Linked DNA regions of Caenorhabditis elegans. The protein of the gene in region 2 interacts with the protein of the main gene of each other region in a pairwise test. Each region holds a gene or a part of one and is shown on either strand. Other genes may lie near its edges.

Region 1 (5,796 bases), on a different chromosome or scaffold from region 2:
TCTGTTGTCTTTGGTTTTCTTTAAAAATTGTCAACTAACAAAAAACATGCAAAATTACTATATTTTAGTAGTTAAAAAAATAACCGCCAAAATATGGTGATGGGGGTGCACGTCTAATAAGGAAAATACGGTAAGCGTAACTTTGTGAACTTCAAGCACCGAACTTCACGTTAAAATTCAAAAGAATAGACAGTAGGCAGCCTACCTTTTGGAAAATTCTCTGGAAAAATCGTCTTCACAAAATTTCCAAACTATCTGATAACACTCATTCGATGGGAAATTGTCACTTACGCGAGGTTTTTTTTGCCTCCGATTCAGAAAAAAAGTTCCATTTTTTGTTATCATATCATTATTATCAGTTCTAATGGCACATCATGTGTCAAGTGATGAGCACCATAACTTTAAATTTTCAAGGTTTTCGAAATATTTTACTCTTGTTCAACAATTCTTCATTTCAAAATGTGACCGTTTTCTTTCTACACTTATGACACTTTTAATACTGTATCACTTGAATGTCTCTAACTTTTTTTCCATTTTCCTCACAACTTTTCCATTCTTCTATTTTTCTGTAGAATGGACGAGCCCACCTTTTATTACTCCTATATAAAAGCTCTTCTCGGTGCGCTCACCTGGAGCTATGAGGAGAAGAAAAACGGAAAGAATAGAAGAAAAGAAGCGGCAATTTTGTCCCGTCCCTTCTTCCAAAAAGATGAGGACCATGAAGAAGAAAAGCGCAGCACATCCGTCAGAAGAAGACCACAATTGGTGGAGGGGCACACCTCTACTTTAAAATAGCTCCCATTTGCTCGCTTTTACTGGAAACTCTGGGGTCACTGATTTTTTGGATGGTTCTAGACTGTCCTCAAATGTATAATTTCAAAGCTGCGGCAAACTGCTACACCCTGTTGTATTTTCCGTCCAGCAATTTACTTCCAAAAATTCAAACTAAGTCAATAGTTGTTATAGTTTTTAAGTTGGTCTTTGATTATTGAGCAGTTCGGTAAACTCGCAGCCGACCTCGATGGAGTCTCGCGATAGCCTACTCCTGGAAAAAACGTTTGTCTTCTGCTTTCACCTCATGATATCAGGAAACTTATTACAGACATTCAGCCGACAAATAAACGGCTTGGCTTCTACTAGAAATGCTCAATAGATTCTAATTTAGTAGGTGTAGATATTTTCACTTTTGTTTATTTTTCTAAGTATCGAAGTACATATGTTAGAAAGTAAATAAAAATTGCTATTCTACTTTAAGAATTTTCTATATTAAAATAGTCTTTAGTAACGTGGGGTTTTCGAAACTTGCAACTTTTCAAGTGAAGATGCTCCTCACCTGAAGCATCCTGTCACTCTACCGATTGGCTGATGGGCGTGTCGTCTTCCATCTCTTCCACCCGCCCACTTTTTGAGACAGGAGAGGCTCTCGCTCCTCTCGCATCCACAAATGGAAGGCGCCTCTTTCCATCTTCCTTTCTTTTTTTTCTGGTTAGTTGAAGTATCCTTAAAGTATCTTGACGTTTTTACTATATATGACTTCTGGAGAGACATTCGAGTTTTTGGATCAAATATAGAATGTCAAATTTTGAAGAGCAATCTTCTCATATGTCAATTTTTCAATAAAATTGTATCCTACATTGTGGTGGTGTAGAACCCTCAAAAAATAATCTCTAAATTAAGAATTTCTTGATTTTAAAACTGACTAGCAAATTTGTCATGAAAAATCTCAAACGAATTTCCTACAGTTCATCTACCAAATGAATTGGGCTTGTAAACTTTTTCACCATCTACTAAAAAATTCAATAAAATAATAATCTCTTCCCAAACTACACCTCCCTCCAATATCTCTCAGCTTACTCCTAACTCCTATCCCAAATTCGTACATCTACCGTACCATTCCTCCTCCCTGTTCGTTCTCAATGACAAAGCCAGCCTTGAACAGCCATATCCAACTTTTTCGTTGCATTGTTCTCGTTCACAAGATGTATTACTCATCTTTCGCCCCAAAACTGTTCTTGTAATTTGTACAGTTCTTGTTTCTTCCCACGTACAGTTTCCTAAGTTTTCAGGATGAGCATCGACACAGACTTCCTCACGAGTGTTGAGGTAAAGGAGGATGAGCTACATGGAAATGTGCTCATTGCAGTAACTCAAATTGCACTCGGAAGGACCATCGGTGTGATTGATAAGGTGAGCTTTTGGTGTACAATTTTTACGCCGTAGACATTGTCTTAGAGGTGTCCGCTAGAAAAAGAAGTATAAGCTTATTCCCGGGCGTCTAAAAAACTCCACCGGAAAAAATACAGGTCGCTTGAACTGAAATATCTTATAGCTTGAGTAACCTATGAAATAAGCTTTCAGATGTTACACTCATATTTTGTTAGTTAGTAGTTATATGATAACAGTAATTTTAGGTTGTAATTGATAAAATAATGACTTTTTTAAATTAACAAAACTTTTTTTAAAATATTTTTACAAGCATTTTAAATTGATACCTTGGTGCCTAATCTACCTAATCTACAGTACCTTCGCCAACATTTTCAAATCCTTTCCTAATGATTCAACGTTCGAATTACAAATTCTTCCCAGAACCCAAAACCGCAATTATCGGGACCCTGAAATGTTTGGCGCCATGTGTTCCTCCCTGCTTCTTCTCCTCAAAAATTCCTTACACCTGTCTTTCCACCTTTCCCGCTCCCCCCGTCCATTACCACTTTGTTAACCTTGGGGGCACACTAGTAACCATTACATTAGGATTTACAAATCGGAACACCTGGTGCCTTGGTGGATGGGGGATCCGAGATGGGAAAAGAGACTCGATGATCGACTGTAATTGATGAATACAGTCGCTGATGGGAAAATGGATAATTGCTAGGTTTCCATAGGAAGAAGAATTTGAGGAGCTCTATCAATAAAGGAGAGGGATTGAATCCGTTGATCAAGCCGTCAATTTCCTACTGTAGCTGTCGTCGTTATCCAACTTCGTCACAATTCCATCATTGAATTAGTGTATTTCCCCCAGTTGTTTATCATCTAGAGCCGGCGACGGGTCTCTCACACTGATTGGCTTATCACGCACGCACACCACATCAAGCGGCAGTCACTCAGAATCAGAAGCCACTGAAGAAAAAGTTCATCATCTTTTGCGAGAGAGCCACTGATTGCTTATGGTTGCTTGGTGAAGGCAAACCACCTGCTCTCACAGTGGGAAAATTAGATTCCAGAAGCGATAGAGAGAGCGACAGCTCCTGCTTCTTCTTATTAGATATTGATGGGTTTTTGGGCTGAAGCTCACGGAGCACAGAGAGTGGTGAGTTGGCCGAAATGAAATAAGATTTTTTCGAGAATGAGTTTAGAATGTGTGCGATTTGTGAAATAATTGAGGGAGGAAACCCAGTACGCCCAACAAAACCCTTGTTGAGGTACTAAACTGTTTCTGCGAAGATCTGTGGGAAAATATACAGAGATTGCAGGAAAAATAATGCAGTCTTGTAACTGGTGTCACACGGTGTGACGCGCGTGACGTCATCTTTTTCCAGTCCGCAATATATCAAATGAAGTGAAAACTTAAAATTTGGATATGCAGTTTTGAAGAACGCATCGCCAAATACAGGGATTCTTGAAACTTTAATTTTTTATAACTATTCGTGTCCATTTTTTGTAAAATTAAGTCCGAAGAGACATCACCGTTGTCTTACAAGCGGTCATAGAGAAACCTACCCAGCGTGCCAATCGTTTCTTTAATCCATGTTATCACGAGGCCGTCGAAGGTCACCTTTCAGGCAGGCATACATTTTTTTACTACGATTTATGTAGATCCTAGATTCTACACTCATCATTTAGAAAAAGTACTAAAAACAATCACTTACATTAATTTTATAAATATTATTATTTTAGGCTACACCGAATGATTCGAATGCTCTTCTCATCTTGAACCTGATTAAGGAAGCTGATGACGGAGAAGATGCCAATATTTGTATGAGGCAGGAGGATAGAAAGGTGATTATTAGATAAATTTAATGAGGAAGTTATCTAACTATAAGAAAAATTTCAGACTTTTCTACAAACCAGTAAGATTATCAATATTGGAGAGCGTCTTCTTCTACAAAGACTGTCCGAAGAGGAGTGTGATGAGGAGGATCAGGATGATCTTGAGAATTTAATTTTGTTAAAAGATGAAGATCGGTGAGTATGACCCTTGAAAGAAACAAGAAAAAGAGCATGCTAAAAAGGTATGATTTTTCTCACCTTTGAAATTGGAACGATAACTGAACAAGTTGCAAAAACTGTAATTTTCCGGAATTTTTTCTATGATTTGAAGTTCTGTGTTGCTATACATAGAAGGATGTTTGAATTACACATAAAACAATTTCTAAAAAGCAGATTGAGTATACCTTTAATTTTTGAGTTGTTGAGATCAGCGTTAAAAAATTTCAAACCGGTTTTGTCGGTCTTACACAGGCGAATATTCGAAAATAAATCTCGATTTCTAACGGAAAAGTAACGGAAGAAAGATGTGAATCTTCATGAAAATCTTCTGTCATTTTCTTCTCATCGTCCTACTTTCTAACTCCCGTCGTTTTCTCGATAGTTTTCACTGGCGCGGTGAAAGTAACGGATTTCCGATAAGAGCACATCCTTCAGCATCTCCAAGTGAAGCCCGCCCGCTTTTTTTGTGTCCCGTTCATTTACATATAGATTCTACCGCTTCTGGATGACAAATTCGTGTCGGTTTCCGGAGGAGCCCTTTTTTGGGTATTTGAGCCCCTCAAAGGAAATCGTTGATTTATTTTGAGGGGTGTGCATCGGGGGAAGGAAGCGGATCTAGATTTTGCATCTTTTTTGAGAATCAATCGTTTTTTTTGCGGAAAATATAAATTTTTATCTTTTTTTCCGAAATCTTTATATCGCTAACTTAATTTGTGTTATTACCATCTTTTCTATGTTTCTTAAATTTTTAGACGATGATTCCTTGGTATCCCAAAAGTTTAGGTTTCAATTTTTACGTTAGACCTTGAACTTGCCCGATTAGATTTGAAAAGTTTGGGTTAATTTTAATATTTAATAGATTTTTCTAAATCGTTATTCGTATCAAACTATCTAGACATTGCACTTTACACTAGAAAGAATAACACAAAATTCAACTATCAAGTTTATGAAAAAGCTAAAAATTAAAATGAAAACATATTTTTATTTTAGTCATGAACTTTCATTATTCACCACATTAAAAAAGAGTTCTGTAAATTTTAAGAACAAAAATTGAAACTACGGAATATTCAAAAAAACATAACTTCATGCGTGTTTACATTTTTTGATAAAGCCAATAACATCCAAGATTCCAAAACTGCCTAACTTAAAAAGCGAGTAGCCAAACTAATTGTGTTATACGGTTTTGCTATATGATAGTATTAAAAACGTATTATATTTTTTGAGGCACTGTTTTTTAACCTTTCGAAAATCAACCATTTTCAGGCCGGACAGTACTCAAAGCTGCACAAAGAGCAGCAGTGAAGACAGCAATCTAAACGGTTTCGAGGAGTATATTCGAGAACACGGCGAACTTGTACCTGGTCAAACGCCTCCCGACGGATCACACAAGTGTGGAGTTTGTCCAAAGAGTTTTTCAAGTGCAAGGTGAGTTCGTTGAAAAAAAAAGTCGGAAAAGTTATTGGCAAGGTATATCATGCTAATGCACTCTCTCAACTGTTGTATTTTAGCAGGTGTTTGAAAGTGTTTTGTCTATTTATGCGTCTCTGTTTGTATGTTTTCATACCGTAGTCACCCTTCTCTATTCCATTA
Region 2 (4,558 bases):
ATAGTGAGGAATTTTTTTAAGTATGAGAAATTATATTAAAGAGCAATTCCCGAAAAATTAATTGACTTCAAAAAGCATGGTACGTCGCTTTTAGATAAGGAATGTGTCTTTAAATGTTCAATACAATTATTTGTACAAATTCGGATGAACTCGCTTCAAGATTTTAATCGAAACGAGTTTTAATCCATATTAATTTGAAAGTGAGAGTTGAAAAAAAGATGCAAACGAAAGAAGAACGGGACAAGAGCGAAGAAGCGAAGCCCAATGATTCGAAATTTTGCGAAGAAAACGGGACATCGGTGTTTCGCTACCGCAGAAAAATATTGAGAAAAATAGTGAAAAATAAGGATACCGATGCTGAAACGGCTAGTTTTTATTCAATTAGAACATAAAAGTTTGAATCTACATTTTTATTTAAGAAGCAAGAAAAAAAAATTTAAAATTTACAAATAAATACTCTGATTACAGTGTCACTAAGTTTAAAAAAATCAAGATTTGTACTGTAAAACCTGCGGTGGTGAGTGTGGGAATTCCGGTGGTCCATAAAGCTTTTCAGCGCGGTGCAAAAATGCTGAAACCATAGTTTTTACGACTTTATCGAAGAAAAGATGAGCGATTCTTGAGTGAAAAGCTGACTCGAATTCAAAAACTAAGTCATAGTGAAGAGTACATGAGCGTTCAACAGATGGTTTTCCCTGAAAAAGGTGAACGTTAATAGAGGTTTAACAAAAATTGATGGAACGAACTTTTCCAAACCGGAACGTAGTGTCAAGTGTGCGGAAGAGATTATCATTTTCTATGACGACAGACTGTAAACACATAGAATATCGAAAACCGAAACCTTCTTAGAAATCTTTGAATAAACTAACATGAACAACAGATGGCTTAATGTGAATCACACGACTCGAATATTTCTCTGAAAGTGGTGGAAACCCAATTTCCAGCGTCGCAATCTGTGAGCTTTCGTGCTCGTGGGTTACTGTAGACGACCGACACCATGGAACAAAATTGTGATAATCGGATACATCAGACACGACTTTAAACATTTCGTCCCGGGAAAATCTAAAAATTTAAATAATTTTCGACGTCTAAATACTTCAAATTACTTACCCAATCAATCGTTTTTCCGAGTATGCCATCTCACTGGAAAATCTTCTCTGATTTAGGATCAGGTTTTGCCCGAGACGACGCAATAACATCTATTTGATAAGTTTGTTTTTCAAAAAAAAATTCATGAGAACAGATACAAAAATTTAGTGGCTCGATTTATACGATTGTAAGGGATCAATTGAAATCAGGGAAAAAATCATCAGAATTTACCCGTTTATTAGGATTTTTCATGAAAATTAACAACGTCAAGTGTCATAAGTATATTCATCATCTTCGGGATTATCACTTTCCAAGAAGGGATCCAATCCATCATATTTAGGGTCACCAGGCGGTCTGAAAGATTTTGAAAATTTAAAAATAAATTATAATCGAGTCAAAAACCAACCTATTATCATCATAAGCCATCCTAGCCTTTACCAATCTCCGAGCCTTTGGTGCATTTGGAGCAATAACCGATTCCACTTGAAGCATACACTGACTGTTATGCTCTTCGCCGATTTCTCGATGTGCAAGTGAAAGGTGCATTATTTTTCTCTGAAAGTATTATTTTTCAGAAGAAGCAATTGATAATAGCATACTCGAACGGTCGTCCATTTCTTTCCACACAACAAGCATGTCAAATTGTTTGATTCAGCAGACATTACATCTTGATGAGCATATGACACGTGGAATGCTAGCACCTCGATTCGTTCGAATGATCTTCCACAGCATCCGACAAGACAGGTGAGAGTACTCAGATCACATGGCTGAGTATTTCTGAAAAAGGGAGATTTTAAAGATTTATATTATCCAGACGTGAAAATTTGCAATGTTTGTGCCGAAGATACTGTACCCGGTCTCGACACGATTGTTTGCTTAATGATTTCTGAAATTGAATAATTTAATTTTTGGTTCAAAATCGTACTCTTTTAGTCTTCTGTGAATATGCCGTGTCTCGCTTCCCAATTTTTCATTATTTCTGACACTTCTCCGCTCATCCTGTTGACTGTTGAATCGTTTTCGCAGATTTTCAATGTAAGTTACATCGTACACAGTAGGTTGGTGCGATTGGTTACCGTAACCTAAAAAAAATTATTATAATTTTTCTGTGATGTTACAAATTGTAAGAGCTGATTGTGAATAAATTGTTTCCAAAAAAAGTGAAAACTCACTTTGACATGCACCCAAATCGGATACTTGATAGGGATTCGCTGAAATTATTTGATTAAAAAATGATTTCTCTTGAACTTTAGTTACCTCCGAAAAATTTAGGATTCCTATAAGAAGACGAGGATGGCCGATTTTTCCAAGACGATGAAGATTTCATCTGAAGTTGATTACATTTTAATGGCTTTTATACAATCGGGAAGTATTTCTGGATTTTTGAACCATTTGAGTCGAAAAATAGATAAATTGATAATGTTAATTCATAGCAAAAAAACGATAATGTAATAATAATAATAAATAAATACATAAAAATGAGATCATTGTTCCATATCGTCATCATCATCCGTCATTTGTCTTCCACTTTCTTCTTGACTTCGCGGAGCACTGCTACTTGCAGCGTCATCACCTCCACCGCTACCATCAGTAGTCGATGACGTCACTGTCGAAGATGGAGCACCATCTGCTCCATCTTCATTCAGATCATCGGATCCGTCCTCCTCATCTTCTTCTGTAGTTTGTGGTTCATCTGATGTTGGATCAAGATATCTCACGATTTGAAAAAGTTCCGAATGAAGAGAAGAAAGTCCAGATTGAGCGAGAAGTGAGTTTTGAAGTACACCGAATGTTGATCCTGAAAAGTACGTGTAGAAATAAATTAATAATTTCCAATGAGTAATACCTTGATGTGATGATCCAACACAAACATGCGATAAGTATTGCATTTGAGCGCTCAATTCATTTTCCACTTGAGTTATCAGTTTTTTGAAATTGTTCGCATTATCTTCCATTTTATTCTGAAAGAAATATGTTTCTATATTTTTTAACTTCAAAATTTTAACAAACTTTTCCGATTTGTTTCTCTTTTCCCAAATCTTGAATAATTTCTCGAGCACACTTCATCATCTCATCAATACTTTTTTCAGTCGTCACGATTGCTTGAATCCGATCTGTTAGAACAGGATCGGATGGGTTTGGCTCCATAACTGCAATTTTTGAGTTTTAAATATATTTTATAAACATATATGTTTTGTGAAGATATTTGGAAAATGATAAAAACAAATAAATTTCGTTAGAAACAAGAGTTGAATGACAATTTTCACAGATTTATTGAGAAACCATGAAGAAACCCAGGAAAAAATGGGACTAGAAACAGGTTATGTTATTCGAAGAGAAAATAATAGAATCGGGAGTGGTACACATTTAGAAATGCGTTGGATATAAATGAAAGAGGGGAAAGTGAAAATGGGGGCATCAAATCACAGTGGGAATTTTATATTTAACGGGTTTGGGGGATTGACGGACTATTTTCAATAGTTTTACAAACATTTTGATGGAAAGAAACGTCATGAGCATTGTGAGAATGAGAAAAATAGTTTAAGGCATTTTGGCAGCACCAAATCAGGCACGAATACTTCCAGACGAAACTTTAGGTGGTGGTGGCAGTTGAGAAAGCGGTAGAAAGTGGAACCTATAATTTAAAAGATTGCGAAGAAAAAAAAATGAATTTAAAAAATACCTGTTAAGTGGATGAAATGGAACGTTCGCTGAGACAGTCGCAGTTGATTTCATTCCAGGATACGGTGAAGCAGCCTGCGGTGGAGGTGGAGGTGGGGCAGGTGCTGGAGATGCTGAAATTGAAGGTGCAAATGAAGAAGACGGGGGAAGTGGAGCCCGAGATGATGTTGGAGCAACTGATGTTTTTGAAGCGATTCGTGGAGGTGGTGGGGGAGCATCATCAAGAGTCCTGAAAATGTTCGATTTGTGCCGGTTTTAATTTAAAAAAAAACAATTTGATAACATACACATGAAATTACTCGAAACTATTAACTTAAAATTATTTGTTATTCAAAAAATCGTTAATTTTTCTAACCGTGATATCGCTGGCGACTGGAATCTGCTGGACATTTGTGCTATGGACGGCGTTGGTACTGGCGGTGGTGGTGCAGCTGGGCGAGCTGGCGGAGGAGCTAATGGACGTGCCAGTCTGGTTGCCGACGTCGCTTGCGGTATATCCTGAAATTAAATAAAAATTATTTCATCTGGTGTTACCTTTCTGGACAAAATAACTAGATCATAAAGTGGTATTATAAATTTCTAGTTATTGCGAAACGATTCTTCCTACCTTTACATAACTTCTCATGCTTATCATATTGTCAGAGGGTGAGACGCAGAGTCTATAAGACTCGGCGCACAATATAATTCCGGAGAATAAAACATAAGGAAACTTTAAAAACCACTAAACACTGCAAAACGACAAAATAACAAAAAAAACCTCTGAACTTCCACTTCGTCGATACATTGT
Region 3 (4,985 bases), 1.3 Mb from region 2:
ACAATTAATATGTAAATTAAATAATCTTCTTGCTTTTTTAAAAATAAATTCGAATTGATTTTTATTTGTATGTATTAACATTACTTATATATTGAAAAATTCAGTTCGTCTGTCCATAGTTTGTAGTCTATGTAGTCTTTGTAGTCTGCAAAGTTTTGAAGGGATATTGGTTAAGGGTTAGGGGGGAGATATGGTCAGGGTACTGTAGTAGTACTGTAGGAACAGGGAGCTGTAGTACTGTAGAAGTACTGTATGAATGCTGTAGGAGTATTGTAGTTTGGAAAAAAATTGAGTTATTTATATGCCTGAAATTGGGTTTTTTTGATTGAACTGGAAGCTCCTGGCATCTAGAAAATTTTTTTAATTAAATTCTGAAAGCGCTTACAATTTGAAACAAGTCCCCGACGAAACAGTTTCAAAAAAGTTCATTTTAAGGCAGATACTAATTTTCAAAGTTATTAAAATTAACAAAATCACCCAATAAAAAATGTGGTGACAACTTCGAGACAATGTGTTGTTTAGCGTAAAATACAAAAAAAGTCGTGCGTTGAATGAGAATAAAAAAGCGTTTTGTGCGTTTGGCACAGTACCAGCTCCCCTTTTCGTATCTCACCTTTTCGCAGATCCCCTTTTTGCAGATCCCCTTTTCGTTCTGCTCCCCTTTTCGTGGGGCCTCATCTATTTTTTCGTCTGTCAATCTATTTTTTCGTCTGTCAATCTATTTTTTCGTCTGTCAATCTATTTTTTCGTCTGTCAATCTATTTTTCGTCTGCCAATCTATTTTTTCGTCTGTCAATCTATTTTTAGTCTGTCAATCTATTTTTCGTCTGTCAATCTATTTTTAGTCTGTCAATCTATTTTTCGTCTGTCAATCTATTTTTCGTCTGTCAATCTATTTTTCGTCTGTCAATCTATTTTTCGTCTGTCAATCTATTTTTTCGTCTGTCAATCTATTTTTTCGTCTGTCAATCTATTTTTCGTCTGTCAATCTATTTTTTGTCTGTCAAGTCGTATATTAATTTTTAATTTTTAAAAATTATCAAGATCACCCAATAAAAAATGTGGTTATTTATATGCCTGTAGGTCAGTTTTTTTATTGAACTGGAAGCTTCTGGGAAATAGAACAATTTTGTGATTAAATTCTGAAAGCACTTAAAACTTGAAAAAATCTTTTATTTAAATACTAGTACTGGTACGAACAGTACAGAACAAAAAATAATTATTATTAAAATCTATTAAAGATCCTCCAAAAGATAACTGCATCTAGGTTGATTATCCAAGTCGTCAGCTTCAGTTTGAGCATCTTCTTGATATTTTCCCTGGTCCTCCATCATTTCATTTTGCTTCTTCTGTTCATTCACATTTCTCTCGATCGATTGCACTCGATTCACAATCGGCTTCTGGATACCAAGAGCAAATGTGGCACGAGTCAGAACAAATGCACTATTTTGATTCAAGGATTGAGTCATTGCAGATTGTTTCAGATTGATAGCACCGGCAATTATGTCATCACAGAATTGAGAAATGAAGCCGCTTCGCTTGATTTGAGACCAGAAACTCATTGGATCTGGAATCATTTGGAAGTTTATTTGATAGGTAGAGGCAGTGAAACTCGAAAATATGCAAAAACTCCTTACCATTTTGCAGACAACTGTAAATATCCTGAGCTGGGCTGCACACAGGTCTTTCTGGAGCTGGGGATCTTGTTGAGAAAGCTGGCTGGAAGAACTCTTCAAAAACAAGCTGATCTTCTGATTCAACAAAGTTGATTTCCAGCTTTGCCTTGTTTTTCTTGCCTGCTGGACGCCCACGACCTCTTTTCTTGACTGAAAAAATAGGATTTCCTTAAAATTAAATGCACCATGATTTTTAAAATATTACTTGGCTCTTCACTAATTTGTCCACTACTTTGCTCCGTTGGCTCAGATGCATCATCTCCGGAAGCTAGAACATCTTCGAGGTGACGTTTGTTAACTGGAGCTCTGCCCGTTGAGTTCATGTAGTTGCGACTTTGGCACTGTCCATGACAGATACTCTTGTGATTATAGAAATCGATGGTTTTGTTCTCCAATAGTGTTCTGAAATTTAATGAATTAAAACTGGAACGTTAAGAATTAAACGTGGCTAGCAGTCCCAAGCAAAAGGTTACGATTAAGCCCAAACCTAAGCCTAGCACATAACCTAAAACCGAGGCCTAAGCCTAAGCATACGCCTGAGCCTAAACCAAAGCATACAATTTATTGATCTTTCTGCACTCACCTCAAGCTAACATTCTCCACACGAATACACGCCTTCCAGTCTTTCTGTCGCCCTTTTCCACCAAGTTCCGTAAATTGTTTCGGAGTCAGATACTGTGCTGAAATTCCAGAATAAATTCATTCTCTCACATTATAAAAGCCACCATACATTCATATTCGATGCAAGCCTGACGAATTCCGGGGCACCTGAACAATTTGAGATGCATAATTCCTTTGACATATCCACAGGTAACCGGCACCGTGGTGGCATTTAGAGGTACAATTGGTGTCCAGATATGTTCAGATGGAGTATCCAGGTAAGTATAGCTGAGTTCCGATGCTTGCTGTAATATTTATTTGTTATTTTCGAATTGCTAATTGGAGCCAAAATGGCATTTTTCGTATCTCAGACAGCAATGTAGGTGCATTTGAAGTTTTCAAACTAAATTGAAGATTTTTTTCGAGCCAAAAAAGTATTTCCGAGACTAACAAGACTATTTCAATTTTTGGAAGAATTGTTTCCAAAAAAATTGTCTCAAAATTTCACATCCCAACTCACATCATACATATTCTCCTGAACGCGTCTCCCGTCTATCTCGAAATTTGGATCACTTGGAACCAGCATCTCTTCGTTTTTCATCTCACTGGTTGATCCGAACTCGGGTTGAGTAGAGAATTCGAAATCATCGTCGTCACACATTTTTCAGGTAATCGATGAATAAAGATGGGCGACCCGACGCGACACGATAATTTCTGACACGCAACTAGTTTTCCGCCAGCTTGGATCTGTTGGCTTCTCGCGTGTTTTTGAATATTTTTAAAATAAATTAATGATTTTTTTTTTGAAAAGTTAAGGCATTTCAATGATCAAAAATATCATTTATACTGGAAAAATTGCAGAGAAAAATCCAAAAAGTATTGTGGTATCGTAAGCCTTACTAGGGACAAACAATATGATTATTAAAATAGATGACTGCAGAAAAATTAGTTTCGGAAGAGCATTTTGAACTAGCAAAAAAATGTTTTTCATAAGAGTTTTTTTAAGTTCTTGCGAGGCCCGGTAATTTGCATGGAAGCTTTTTTTTTGAAAAAAAAATCAGCTTCTAAAATTGTTTACCCAACTAAATTCAAAAATTTCCAGATTTTTTTCCAGTACGTTTGTTGTGAAGAATTACACAGAATTCAAAAAAATGCTCTGCAAAATTATTTGAAATGGGATTTTTTCTGAAACATCCGGTGTTAAACATTTTTACTATTTTTCTGTTACACAGGGTAAATCATCCTCCACGCCATCCCATTACAATGAGCACTGTATTTGAGCATATCCACATTCCATTAAAAGTGGTGGGTGACCCGGACTTGTACTTTTACTTTTTGAAACCGCAATTCAATGATCTAAATACCCATGAGAGGCCCGATAATGAAGGTGATTTTATACTTTTTAACGAACAACGATTACCTCATTCGTCATATGACTGGAGCCTGGAGCTAGCTACAATTTTTACATTTAAAATGTTTTTTTTTGTTTTGAAAATTAACTGTTTGCTTGTTTTTTTTCATGTGCAGTGGAGAAACATCTGGAATTAATTTTTAGATATATTTTTATGTTCTAGCTAAGATATGATTTTTTTAATTTTAAAATATTAATGGGTGAATAGGGGAATACCTATTCAATGAATTGCGGCTGTGCATGAAAAATCGCGAAGTGGAAGTTATATATTTTAAAATTTATGAAATTTCCTAAATTTTCAAAATTGTTAATTGAGCAGGCGACATTGATTGTGGGCTCCATCTCGGCATATCCAGGGTACTTACGCAATACTGGCTAGTTTATTGTAATGGTACGGTACAGTAGCGTTACTAAAGCAAGCTCTTCTTGTTTTTTGACTGAAATACTACAGTTAGGATCCACGCCCAAAAAAACTGAAACTCTTTTTTTGCTCATTCCCAGTATCAAAAGTAACAAACTTTAATATGATAGTATCTTATTTTGTTTTTGTTCAAATAGATGGTTGATATCGTAAAAGCGATAGTGGGAATGCTTGTTTTTCAAGTTTTAGTTTCGAATTTGGTTGTTACAAAACTAAGGTATGATAAAGATGTTCTGCTTTACTTTTTTGGCCAAAAAAGTATCAAAAAAAAGTTTGAAACACAGATTCCCACCACTTTCAGCCTGTCTTAGAACAAATTCCATTTTCTCTTGCTGATAAGCTGTCTATGAGAGAGACACTATTTACATTACCTCAATATACTTGCCATAATGTTACTTGGTTTTGAAACTTAATGAATCATAATACGTTTATTGTTGCATTGAGTCCCCCCTTTCAAACAGGCGGTCCCCCCTACCTTATGTGTCCCTCCCCACCAGCCGAACCTCCAATCGTCTACAACTCCATTCAACTTTTCTTCGTCCATCTCTCTGTCTTATCGCATTTGTCCTCTATATGAGACACACTTATCATAAATTGGTGGGCGACACACAGACACTTTCAATTGTCACTATTTCGGACACGTCTCGCGATGTTTCATTGGAGCTCATTGCGCGTTGTTTTTAGAGTTCCGGTGTAGAGTGTGACATTATAGTTAGATGAAATTCAAATCCACGAGTTGTAAAGTTGTCCCATGTTTTGGACAAATGTAAAGCCACCCAAAGCTTTTCAAGTTAGAAAGTTTCAAAAAGTTGCTGAAAAACTGCTACAGAATCGCAATATGCCGAGTGTCATGTGTAACTCGGCACGTTGGTATTTG
Region 4 (8,736 bases), on a different chromosome or scaffold from region 2:
GCAGTTTTTATTTGAAAATATGTATGTGTATCTCTAATTTTTTTTGTACTTTCAGGGAAAATTTGTCAAGCGAGTCGATTTTGTCAATCGAGGGTGATGGTAAGTGTGTTAAAAGGAGTCATTTTAAAACATTAAAAATAAAGGACGATCCGTTCTTCAAGTGATATGCACTGCGGATCTGGGATTCAGGTACACTAGTGATCCCACTGGGCTATAATTTTAGCCACGTCCTAGCCGGGGACTGTGGCCGATAATCCAGTCGTGGATTGCTCCACTTCCAAATAGAGGCTGGGTGAACCTAGGGGGTGAGACCGGATTTGAACTCGTGACCTCCAGATTGCTATCCGCCGGACAGAGCAAAACGCAACTATTTTGCAACTCGACTTATTGGGATTAAACTTACTTGAGTATGCTGAATTGTACGGCGGAAAACTGGAAGTTCCGGAAGCTTTTCACTTGGCAAGACAAATGATCGATTTGCTTCACACAATACATGATAGGGGGATCGTTCACTGTGATATAAAACCAGCAAATTTTGCATTTGGTCTCAATGAAAAAAAGAATCAGCTTAATGTATGTTACTTCTACCTTAAATGTTTTGTGAACTCATGATTATTTGAACAATTTGACACATATAGTCAATATAACTATACCTTTAGCTCATCGACTTTGGATTAGCAGAATCGTTTCTTGATGATAGAGGAAATCACCGAGAGGTACATAATCGCCATTATCGAAAAGGAACTTATGTTTACATGAGTGCCAATCAGCACCATGAACAATGTTTTGGTAAGAGTTTTTTGTTTGCTTTTGTATCAGCACTTCTGATTGAGAATTCAGCTTTTTCAAAAAAAATTCTATTAACAATACCAAGACGAAAGGTTAAACCAAATATTTTTTGTTCGAACTATCTAATTACAGGAAATACCCGAAGAGATGACATGGAGTCCTTGGTTTATTCTTTGAGGAAAATACTTGACCTCACTATGTGCTGGAAAGAAGGACGGAGTGTGAACAATGATGATACTCATAGAAACTATTTCAACTTGAAACAAGGCAATCAAAAAAGTTGTTCACTTTGTGGAATACAGCCGATTAACGATATGCTTCAATCGTGCCGCATGCTCGAATTCAAAGATGAACCCAATTATGAAGCAGTGAAGCAGCTGTTTGTCTTGGATAAAGCTATGTCAAAAGCGTTGAAAAATAAGTTAGTTTAATATGTTTTTAAAGATAAAAAAATCAGATTTCATCAAAAAATTTAAAATTGCATGTAAATAAAATTTTCACTGCCATTTTCAGAAAGCATGTTCCACCAAAAGCTACATTCGACATTTCTTTGGACGAGGATCAACAGGTTTCAATTTGATTTAATTTCGAAAAACAATGATAATTTTATATTTTAGAAGTTGATCGACAAATTCAATATCTACTTCAACGAAGAAGACTATGATGCAATGTGAAACTTCTTTAACCACCTCCTTTGCAGTTTAACAATTGTCAGTTAATCTAGAATAAATTTTTTAAACATGTTTTATAAATGTTACTAATGAAAACAATTATGGGTTTTTAAAGTACATACTTTGTGTAGTCTTGGGTGTCAAAATATTAATCTCCCTACAACTTTCTAAATTTTGCCATAAAAGTTTTTTATGGAGCACATCTGTTGCATTATCTGTTGCTAAATTTACTTATCTTGCACTTTGAGGATTTTTTTAAAATTAATGAGTAATAATGGCAATCACAACTTAAACCAAATGTCAATTGTACTCGAAACGTGTGAACGTGAGTTTTCTTTTTTTGTAGACTTTTCTATTTGTGAAAGGAGGGCGCCCAATTTAATTAGTACCACATTTAGGATGCAAAAATTGTAAATTTAAAGAAGGTTTGTAGAAAAATACGTAAGATTTTTGAATCTTGTCACTCAAATTACACATACAAGTTTATCATCCTCACCACATAGCCCTATTTAAGTTCTGCTAAATTTATTGGGTTGATTCTTCGACAATTGCCCAACATTGTCGATCACCAACAAACAATGCAAATACGCTCCAACTCACACCGATAGGGAGAGGGGTGTGAATGCGCGCGAAACAGCAAGTGAACGGTCTCTCCGTTTACCACACTCTCTTACCTCGTTTTGTCATCTAACGCGCTCTCTCGCCACTCGCCTTGCGCGTCAGCCGGCCAGTTATTCTTTCCTTCTTTTCACATCGTTTTTTTTCATATTTCAAGCTATTTTTTGTCAATTTTCAACTTATTCAGTTTAGAAATGCCTCGCCGAAACTCAACAAAAAGTGCTGCACAACCGTCCGAAGAAACGCCAGCCGGAGAAGAGGTAAAACTGTTTAGGCTTTGAAAATTTCCGCAATTTTTAGTCTGTAGACACCGATAATGACGCCATTGAAAAATTCTCTCTCAATTTAAAGTTGCGAAGCATTATGAGAGAATTGTGAAAACAAAAAAAAACAGATGAAGCTAAAAATGCAACACAAAATAAAATTCAGAAACCTCTGCCGATGTGTCCTGAGGAATCTGCAAAGGACACCACTGTACAATCGTCCAGACCACGGCGAAATATTCGCAAAAACACTCTATACGACAACGAGAACTATGAGCTTGTGAATTCAGCGCCTGCTGCACCTCCCGAACGGACTCCATCAGTTTCAAGAACTCCAAATAGGACCAGTGCTGTTTCAGAGGTATCTACTGGAACCGATAAAAACTCAACTGCTATGATGCCTGATATGCTGAAAGGAGCGAAAAGAAGAAAGATTCCTCCTCATGTTGCTGAAATGATGGAGACACCAGTTGCACATAGGGCGAACTCAAATCAAGTGAGAAACACAGAAAACCTTTGTTCTTAAATAATCCTTTTTTCTTAATTACAGACTCCAAAATTCGATGATCAGTTGATGACTGATGGAGCCAACCTGGAAGTTGCAATGGAATTTGAGGTTCCTCACAATGACGAAGGACCTCCAGTGCTCGGGCCATCTACTGTTTTTGAAACTGAACCTGAAAGTTACAGGGAAAGCGACGAAGACTATAGTGTTAATGACTTTGCTCACCCTCCAGATCTTGAAAGGCACCCGTACGTAAATCCATTATGTAATGACAAAACTTTAATTTTTTTTACAGATTGAGCAAGCGAAGAGGACGTCCACGTCGACCACAAGAGCAGCTGGAGACCAATGTTAAATTGAAACTGACCCGTCCAGCTTCAAAAGCTCAGCGAGCCCCACCAACTGAGCCAGTTGCTGCTAGAACCGCCACTGCTAATCAAAGGCATATTAAGCTATTTGAGGAAGAGTTGGATACAACCCCCGGCGGAGAGTCCTATGCAACCGTGGTGAATGGGTGCCTGACTGAGCTGCTGAGAAAGGAGCGGATTATTGATCTCCTCACAAACCCGGACGAAATTGAGTTGATGTAAGTGAAAAATGACAACTGTTGCAATGCGATATCAATAATCTAAGCACATTATAAATTTTCAGAAAGCAAGCAGGATGGTTTCTTCCAAGACCACCACGTCTTCCTCCACTTGTCACCGACAAAGTATGCTTCGCATTCTACGTGGATGGTAGTCAGCAGAAAAATGCTAAAGATCTCTCCAACGATGACCTCCGTCCGTGGAGTGTGACAAATGATCATCAGAACACGACTGGCGGCCCAAACACAATCAAGCCAAATGTTCGAAGACACCCGGTGGCTCGACTCAATGGCGAGCTGAAGACAGTCAAGCATGAGACACGTCTCGCTGAGTATCACTTAACGGAGTACAGCGCTAGATTACCTCGGGAGCAGAGACTGAGAAAAAAGGTAGCTAAACTGAAGATATTTGAACACAACATTGATTTTCTTTCCAGATTTTCTACCTGACCCGTGACAATCAAATCTTTGGAAATGTGCTTATTCTGTATGATTATGTGAATCCAGGAAATGCCCCAATCCCAGTATGCCTTCCTCATGGCAATGATCATCTGCGAAGAGCAGTCACAGATGATCAAGATGGATTTGACAATGATTTGCCGGTTTGTAATTATATAATTGGTTACCTCATTTATAATTTTATGCTTTCAGTTTGAGCCGCAACGCATAGAAGGAACCCGTGGAGCTGGAGTCTACCTCAGGTTGCGTCCGAACAAATTGGGATGGGCTCAGAACAAGAAAAACTTGCTGGATTATTTATTCAATAAAGTTGACATTCTGGATGAACTTGGCGCTCTAAACAATCGCCTCCCAGATCTTCCGCCACTGATTGAGACGGTCGGAGTCTTTGCATATTTTGTTCCGGCCTGTCATGTTGTCAACCAAATTCACCACGCTGCTGATGGCTTATCTCCATGGACCACTAATCGTGAGTTGCTGTTTGCGAAGCACCAATATGCGGTCGTTTAACCGTTTTAATTTTGATAAATTTCAGCAGGCGCTGGCGAAGGAACACCGACAGTGCGTGTGCGGTCAACAAAGAAGAACTTGATATTGGACGAAGCTCACAATCACTTTATGGTATCAAGAGACCAGAAAACTCCATCCGACTATATTCTCGTAGAGACAATGTCGACACTTGCCAGATGCAAAAGAGTGAGAAAGAGGGTAAGTTAACCAACAGTCCGCAAGTACCACGACGCACATTTGCGTACTTAAGTTTGCGTACTTAAATTTGCGTACTTAAATTTTGCGTCGTAAATCTACACCACACGCTGTGCAATATTTAACAAAATGAAAGGGCATACACCACCTGGGGTTGTTGCTGCTAAATTATCAGACCGTTGACGGAACTGAAATTATAGTGCAGTAGTCATAAATAATGTCATAAAAAATATTGTACATTGCAATTCTTCAATCATTTCAGGTTTTCTATATCCAACAAGCCGGCGCTGTTATTCATGGAAATGTCTGCTACACGTATGAGTTTGTTTACGACGGTCCGTTGCCAACCTTCTACCCACCATTGGACGCGAAGAGTTACAGTAGATGGTCAGGAGGATCACCACTGAAAAAGCCGGTCAATTCAATGGACATGCACTCTCACATGATGGTAGAGCAGGATTCATATGATATGATTCCTGTTGACGATGACGGAATCGTTGATGTCGTTGACGTTCACAAGGAAATGCTCGTTCAGCAGGAGGATGATCAGATGGAGAACCTTCTAACGTATCCCGATACGCTGAACAACGGATTTGATCCAGAATTCAATGATGATCCGATTGATAAAGCCGAGAATCCGAATGCATACTATGATGAGCCCCGTGTTTTGTCAACGGGTCACGTATACTTGACTGTTCGTCATAAAAAGTTGGTTACCGTCATGGATCATGTTCTCGAATGGATTGCAAATTCGAACATTGTGTAAGTTCTTGAAAATGTAATCAGTTTGATTTTCAACTATTTTCAAATATTTCAGTGAGGAGCGTGGTGTCCTGAACGACACGAAACCGTCTCACCCACCATTGGTCACCAACTCTAGGGCCTACGCCTTTTTTGTAGCCGGTACTGCCATATTCCCCCATGACATTAATCGCGACGACTTCTCACCATGGTCTCGCAACGGAACGCCTGATCAGCCGACCTGCTATCGTACAAAAGTTCGAAAGCTTGGAGTGATTTGCGATCCTCAAAATTCAACGTTTTTGGTATGGAATATTTACTGGCACTATTGTTTTAAACGTAAACTGTTTTTAAGCTGAAAGAAAATACCAACTACAAAACTTGTCCATTCCATCTCGTCTACTTGTATTCGATTAATCCAAAGGAGCCTAGACTGCGAAAAAAGGTGTTTTAAACAATGTTATTTGATTTTTATAAACTAATAATTTGGTTTTCAGATCTACTACCTGATGGAAACCCAATCAAAAATGGTTGTCAGTCATGCATTGATTATGTACGACTACAACCATGAAGGCAACATCCCACGTCTCAACGCTGGCCAATACAAGCCACTCACTAAGAGGAGTTACGCTAGAACCGTATGTTTCTAACATCATAAGATTTTGACTTAATAACAATACAATAATTACAGAATCATATGCAGCATGATTTGATGAATGATGTCTCGGAAGGCGAAGAGAGCAGAGATTGCCCATTCATATTGCCTGCAGAGACTGCTGCTGATGGGACGTTTTACCTACAGCTCGATGACTTGGAATTCTGGAATGACCGGAACCGACAGATTCAGTACTTGGTCAATCAATCTGATTTGGTGTAAGTTGATTGAAAGAAAAATAGAAAAGCTAAGCTTAAAAAAAGTAATTTCAGTGAACAACTCGGATGCCTCAACACAAAAGTTCCCGATCTTCCACCATCGATAACTGGAAAAGGAACATTTGTCTTTTTTGTGAACGGAGAAGAAGTCAACTTTAGATCATTGACCACAGATAAACTGACTCCGTGGTCAGAAAACACTTGCTCTAATCCTCGTAAGTCTTATGAATTTTTTACAAAAATTTTCATAGACGTGTTGAGTAACTTCCCGCAAGCTCCATTAGTTTCAGATGGAATAACCAAAAGGCCGAAATCATCAAAAACTCCGCTCGGATTCAATCGTCACAATCAACTGCGAGTCTGCAAGGGGAATGCTCTGGCCGTGGATCCGATTGAATTCCAGTTGCACATTTACACTGCAACATTGCCCCGCTGCACACGGCTTCGCAAAAAAGTTGTCTATGTGCAACGAGACGGAAACCAGTATGGACACGGTTTGATCATGTACAGCTACACTGAGCCCGGAGCTGTGCCACAGCCAATTCAGAAGACTATTCAACCTTCGACTGATGAATGGTTCAGCAGCCTTCCATCAAACATCAGAGAGGATGTGTTCCATTTGCTGAAAACTGCCCCAGTAAATGAAACAGCGAAGATAATTCATCAGGAACATGGAATTCATATTAGTCCAAATATGTTGTTCAGTCTCAAACGGCGAGAACTTTCTGGTTCTCATGCTGACAACGACACTTTTGTCACTGAATGGACCGGAGCTGATGGTGCAGGACCATCGACATCGGCTAAAACTGAGACTGTGGAAGAGGTGGTGATTGAAGAGCAAATTCCAAAAACAATCATGGGTCACGAAATGATGATTGGAGGAGACATGATTGTCGAGCACATTGAAGAAGTTGGAGACGTCTATGGGCAATCAATGATGAGAAGAAATCCATTTTTGGAGAAAAGCGTGGTTAGTGTTTGTATAATTGATTCGTTTTTTAAATTCTCAATTTTCAGACTACTGCTGGATTTGTTCGTGGATCTCAGCGATATGATGCTCTTTGGCGAATTGCGCAAAAACAGTTTGGTTCGGAGTGCATTGATGACACTTTTGACAGCTTGTTCCGACTATTATACGAAAAGAACGAGCAGCGCTTGCTCCAAATGATCAATGAGACATTCCACGTGGACATTTTCTCTGGCGACCAAGAGATTGTGGAGGAAGGTGTCGAATACATGCAAGAAGAACTTGTTGTGCATCCTGGTAATCATCTTGTCGGACACGAGGAACTGGGAAGACACGAGGAACACATTGAACATCCTGAAGTACAAGGCCATTTGGAACATGAAGTTATTGAAGCCCCAGAAGATCCTATGGTTTAAAATTATGATTAACTGGAACAGACATTGTTCGAAAAATCATATAACTGTAAATTAAATTGATCTTATAATATTGTTTTACCCTTTAAAATCCGTGTTATGTCATATCTATCTATTATTCCGTTTTACACCAAATGTTTTTTGCCACTATAGAATGACAAGGTGATCTTTTTTCTGTTCTCAGCAAATTGAAAATCAAACATAATACACTGACACAGATGAAGTTATAATAATGCATAGTAGTTTAAAAAAAGGTATTCGGCTGAATATCTGAATAACAACATTTTAATGTAAGGTGCAAAGCATGGATGTGCGGCAAATTTGCCAAACACGGTAAATTTCAAAAAAGTAGATTTGCCAAATTTTCCAAGCTCCGTAATTTTTTATGTTTGCCCCAGCTGCAAAGGAGCATACAACCCCCATGAAAACCAGTTATTGGTCTGTATTTTCACCCGAAACAGAAACATCTGAAAGGTAAAATTTGGTTAAGCAAATCCCTAATGTTTCAAGTCCGTTACTACAAACAACTCTGTGACCTAGATTCCAGGTTCTGTAAAAAATTTCAAACACGTCACTTTATGTGCAGGGTACTCACCGGTCTTCAATGATAGCCATTTATTTCAAAGAAATTGAAAAAAAGTCAAAAATTAAATCAAATGTATTTCACGCATTCACGTGAAATGTCAGTTTTGAAATAAATCATTTCTTAATTTTAAACTTACACTTTCCGCGGTTTTCTTCAAACTCTCCCTTTTCGATTTGTTTGAATTTCTCGGTTTTTCTATAGTAAATGTAATTTTTTTGAAATGTTTATTTTAGCTGAAAACCTAAGGGAAATTAGTTTACAATTACTGTATCACGTTTTCAGATGGTTGATTTGGTAGGAAAAGTTGTCAAAGAGTACTATGTAAGTTACTTAATTGGTGAAGGATCGTATGGAAGTATTGTTGCTGTAAACGATATGGAAGAACTGAACAAAGAAAAAGTAATTAAGCTTGTTAAATTTGTTCACGGGAGTCAACGAGAAAAATCATTCAAGACGGAGCTATCAGTTTTTCGCAAACTGGACTCTCTTGGTAATTCAAAAAGAAATGGATTTCCCCAATTTTGTGAGAATTTTCAAGTTGACGGATATTATGCAATTGG

Evidence for each region.
Region 1: the proteins of R144.3 (region 2) and egl-43 interact in a two-hybrid assay, tested with the Caenorhabditis elegans proteins (one large-scale study listed by BioGRID).
Region 3: the proteins of R144.3 (region 2) and gmeb-3 interact in a two-hybrid assay, tested with the Caenorhabditis elegans proteins (one large-scale study listed by BioGRID).
Region 4: the proteins of R144.3 (region 2) and F16B12.6 interact in a two-hybrid assay, tested with the Caenorhabditis elegans proteins (one large-scale study listed by BioGRID).

What each region holds. Positions count from the first base shown.
Region 1 is NC_003280.10:9,953,119-9,958,914, forward strand, and holds the start of egl-43 (Zinc finger protein egl-43), read left to right. Parts: upstream 1-2,066; 5' UTR 2,067-2,067; coding exon 2,068-2,187; intron 2,188-3,892; exon of another isoform or gene 3,893-3,894; coding exon 3,895-3,996; intron 3,997-4,051; coding exon 4,052-4,182; exon of another isoform or gene 4,183-4,229; intron 4,230-5,469; coding exon 5,470-5,631; intron 5,632-5,796. UniProt on the Caenorhabditis elegans protein: Probable transcription factor, required for migration of the hermaphrodite-specific motor neurons (HSNs) from the tail to the gonad primordium during HSN cell differentiation. Required for phasmid neuron development.
Region 2 is NC_003281.10:5,019,905-5,024,462, reverse strand, and holds R144.3 (C2H2-type domain-containing protein), read right to left. Parts: upstream 2,475-4,558; 5' UTR 2,417-2,474; coding exon 2,347-2,416; intron 2,301-2,346; coding exon 2,262-2,300; intron 2,172-2,261; coding exon 2,015-2,171; intron 1,867-2,014; coding exon 1,689-1,866; intron 1,645-1,688; coding exon 1,496-1,644; intron 1,444-1,495; coding exon 1,356-1,443; 3' UTR 1,252-1,355; downstream 1-1,251. Other genes in the region: R144.13 (Coenzyme Q-binding protein COQ10 START domain-containing protein), read right to left, coding at 489-695, 747-809, 870-1,062, 1,111-1,139; mdt-11 (Mediator of RNA polymerase II transcription subunit 11), read right to left, coding at 2,574-2,887, 2,936-3,050, 3,100-3,237; wip-1 (WH2 domain-containing protein), read right to left, coding at 3,655-3,724, 3,773-4,000, 4,127-4,269, 4,529-4,558.
Region 3 is NC_003281.10:3,766,500-3,771,484, reverse strand, and holds gmeb-3 (SAND domain-containing protein), read right to left. Parts: upstream 2,986-4,985; 5' UTR 2,938-2,985; coding exon 2,797-2,937; intron 2,582-2,796; coding exon 2,407-2,581; intron 2,357-2,406; coding exon 2,260-2,356; intron 2,079-2,259; coding exon 1,882-2,078; intron 1,827-1,881; coding exon 1,638-1,826; intron 1,568-1,637; coding exon 1,236-1,567; 3' UTR 1,157-1,235; downstream 1-1,156.
Region 4 is NC_003284.9:14,100,087-14,108,822, forward strand, and holds F16B12.6 (DUF7747 domain-containing protein), read left to right. Parts: upstream 1-2,229; 5' UTR 2,230-2,272; coding exon 2,273-2,338; intron 2,339-2,507; coding exon 2,508-2,837; intron 2,838-2,891; coding exon 2,892-3,094; intron 3,095-3,141; coding exon 3,142-3,432; intron 3,433-3,497; coding exon 3,498-3,822; intron 3,823-3,869; coding exon 3,870-4,034; intron 4,035-4,083; coding exon 4,084-4,360; intron 4,361-4,426; coding exon 4,427-4,599; intron 4,600-4,858; coding exon 4,859-5,358; intron 5,359-5,413; coding exon 5,414-5,642; intron 5,643-5,692; coding exon 5,693-5,782; intron 5,783-5,834; coding exon 5,835-5,975; intron 5,976-6,028; coding exon 6,029-6,210; intron 6,211-6,264; coding exon 6,265-6,425; intron 6,426-6,500; coding exon 6,501-7,180; intron 7,181-7,227; coding exon 7,228-7,593; 3' UTR 7,594-7,827; downstream 7,828-8,736. Other genes in the region: F16B12.7 (Protein kinase domain-containing protein), read left to right, coding at 8,459-8,735.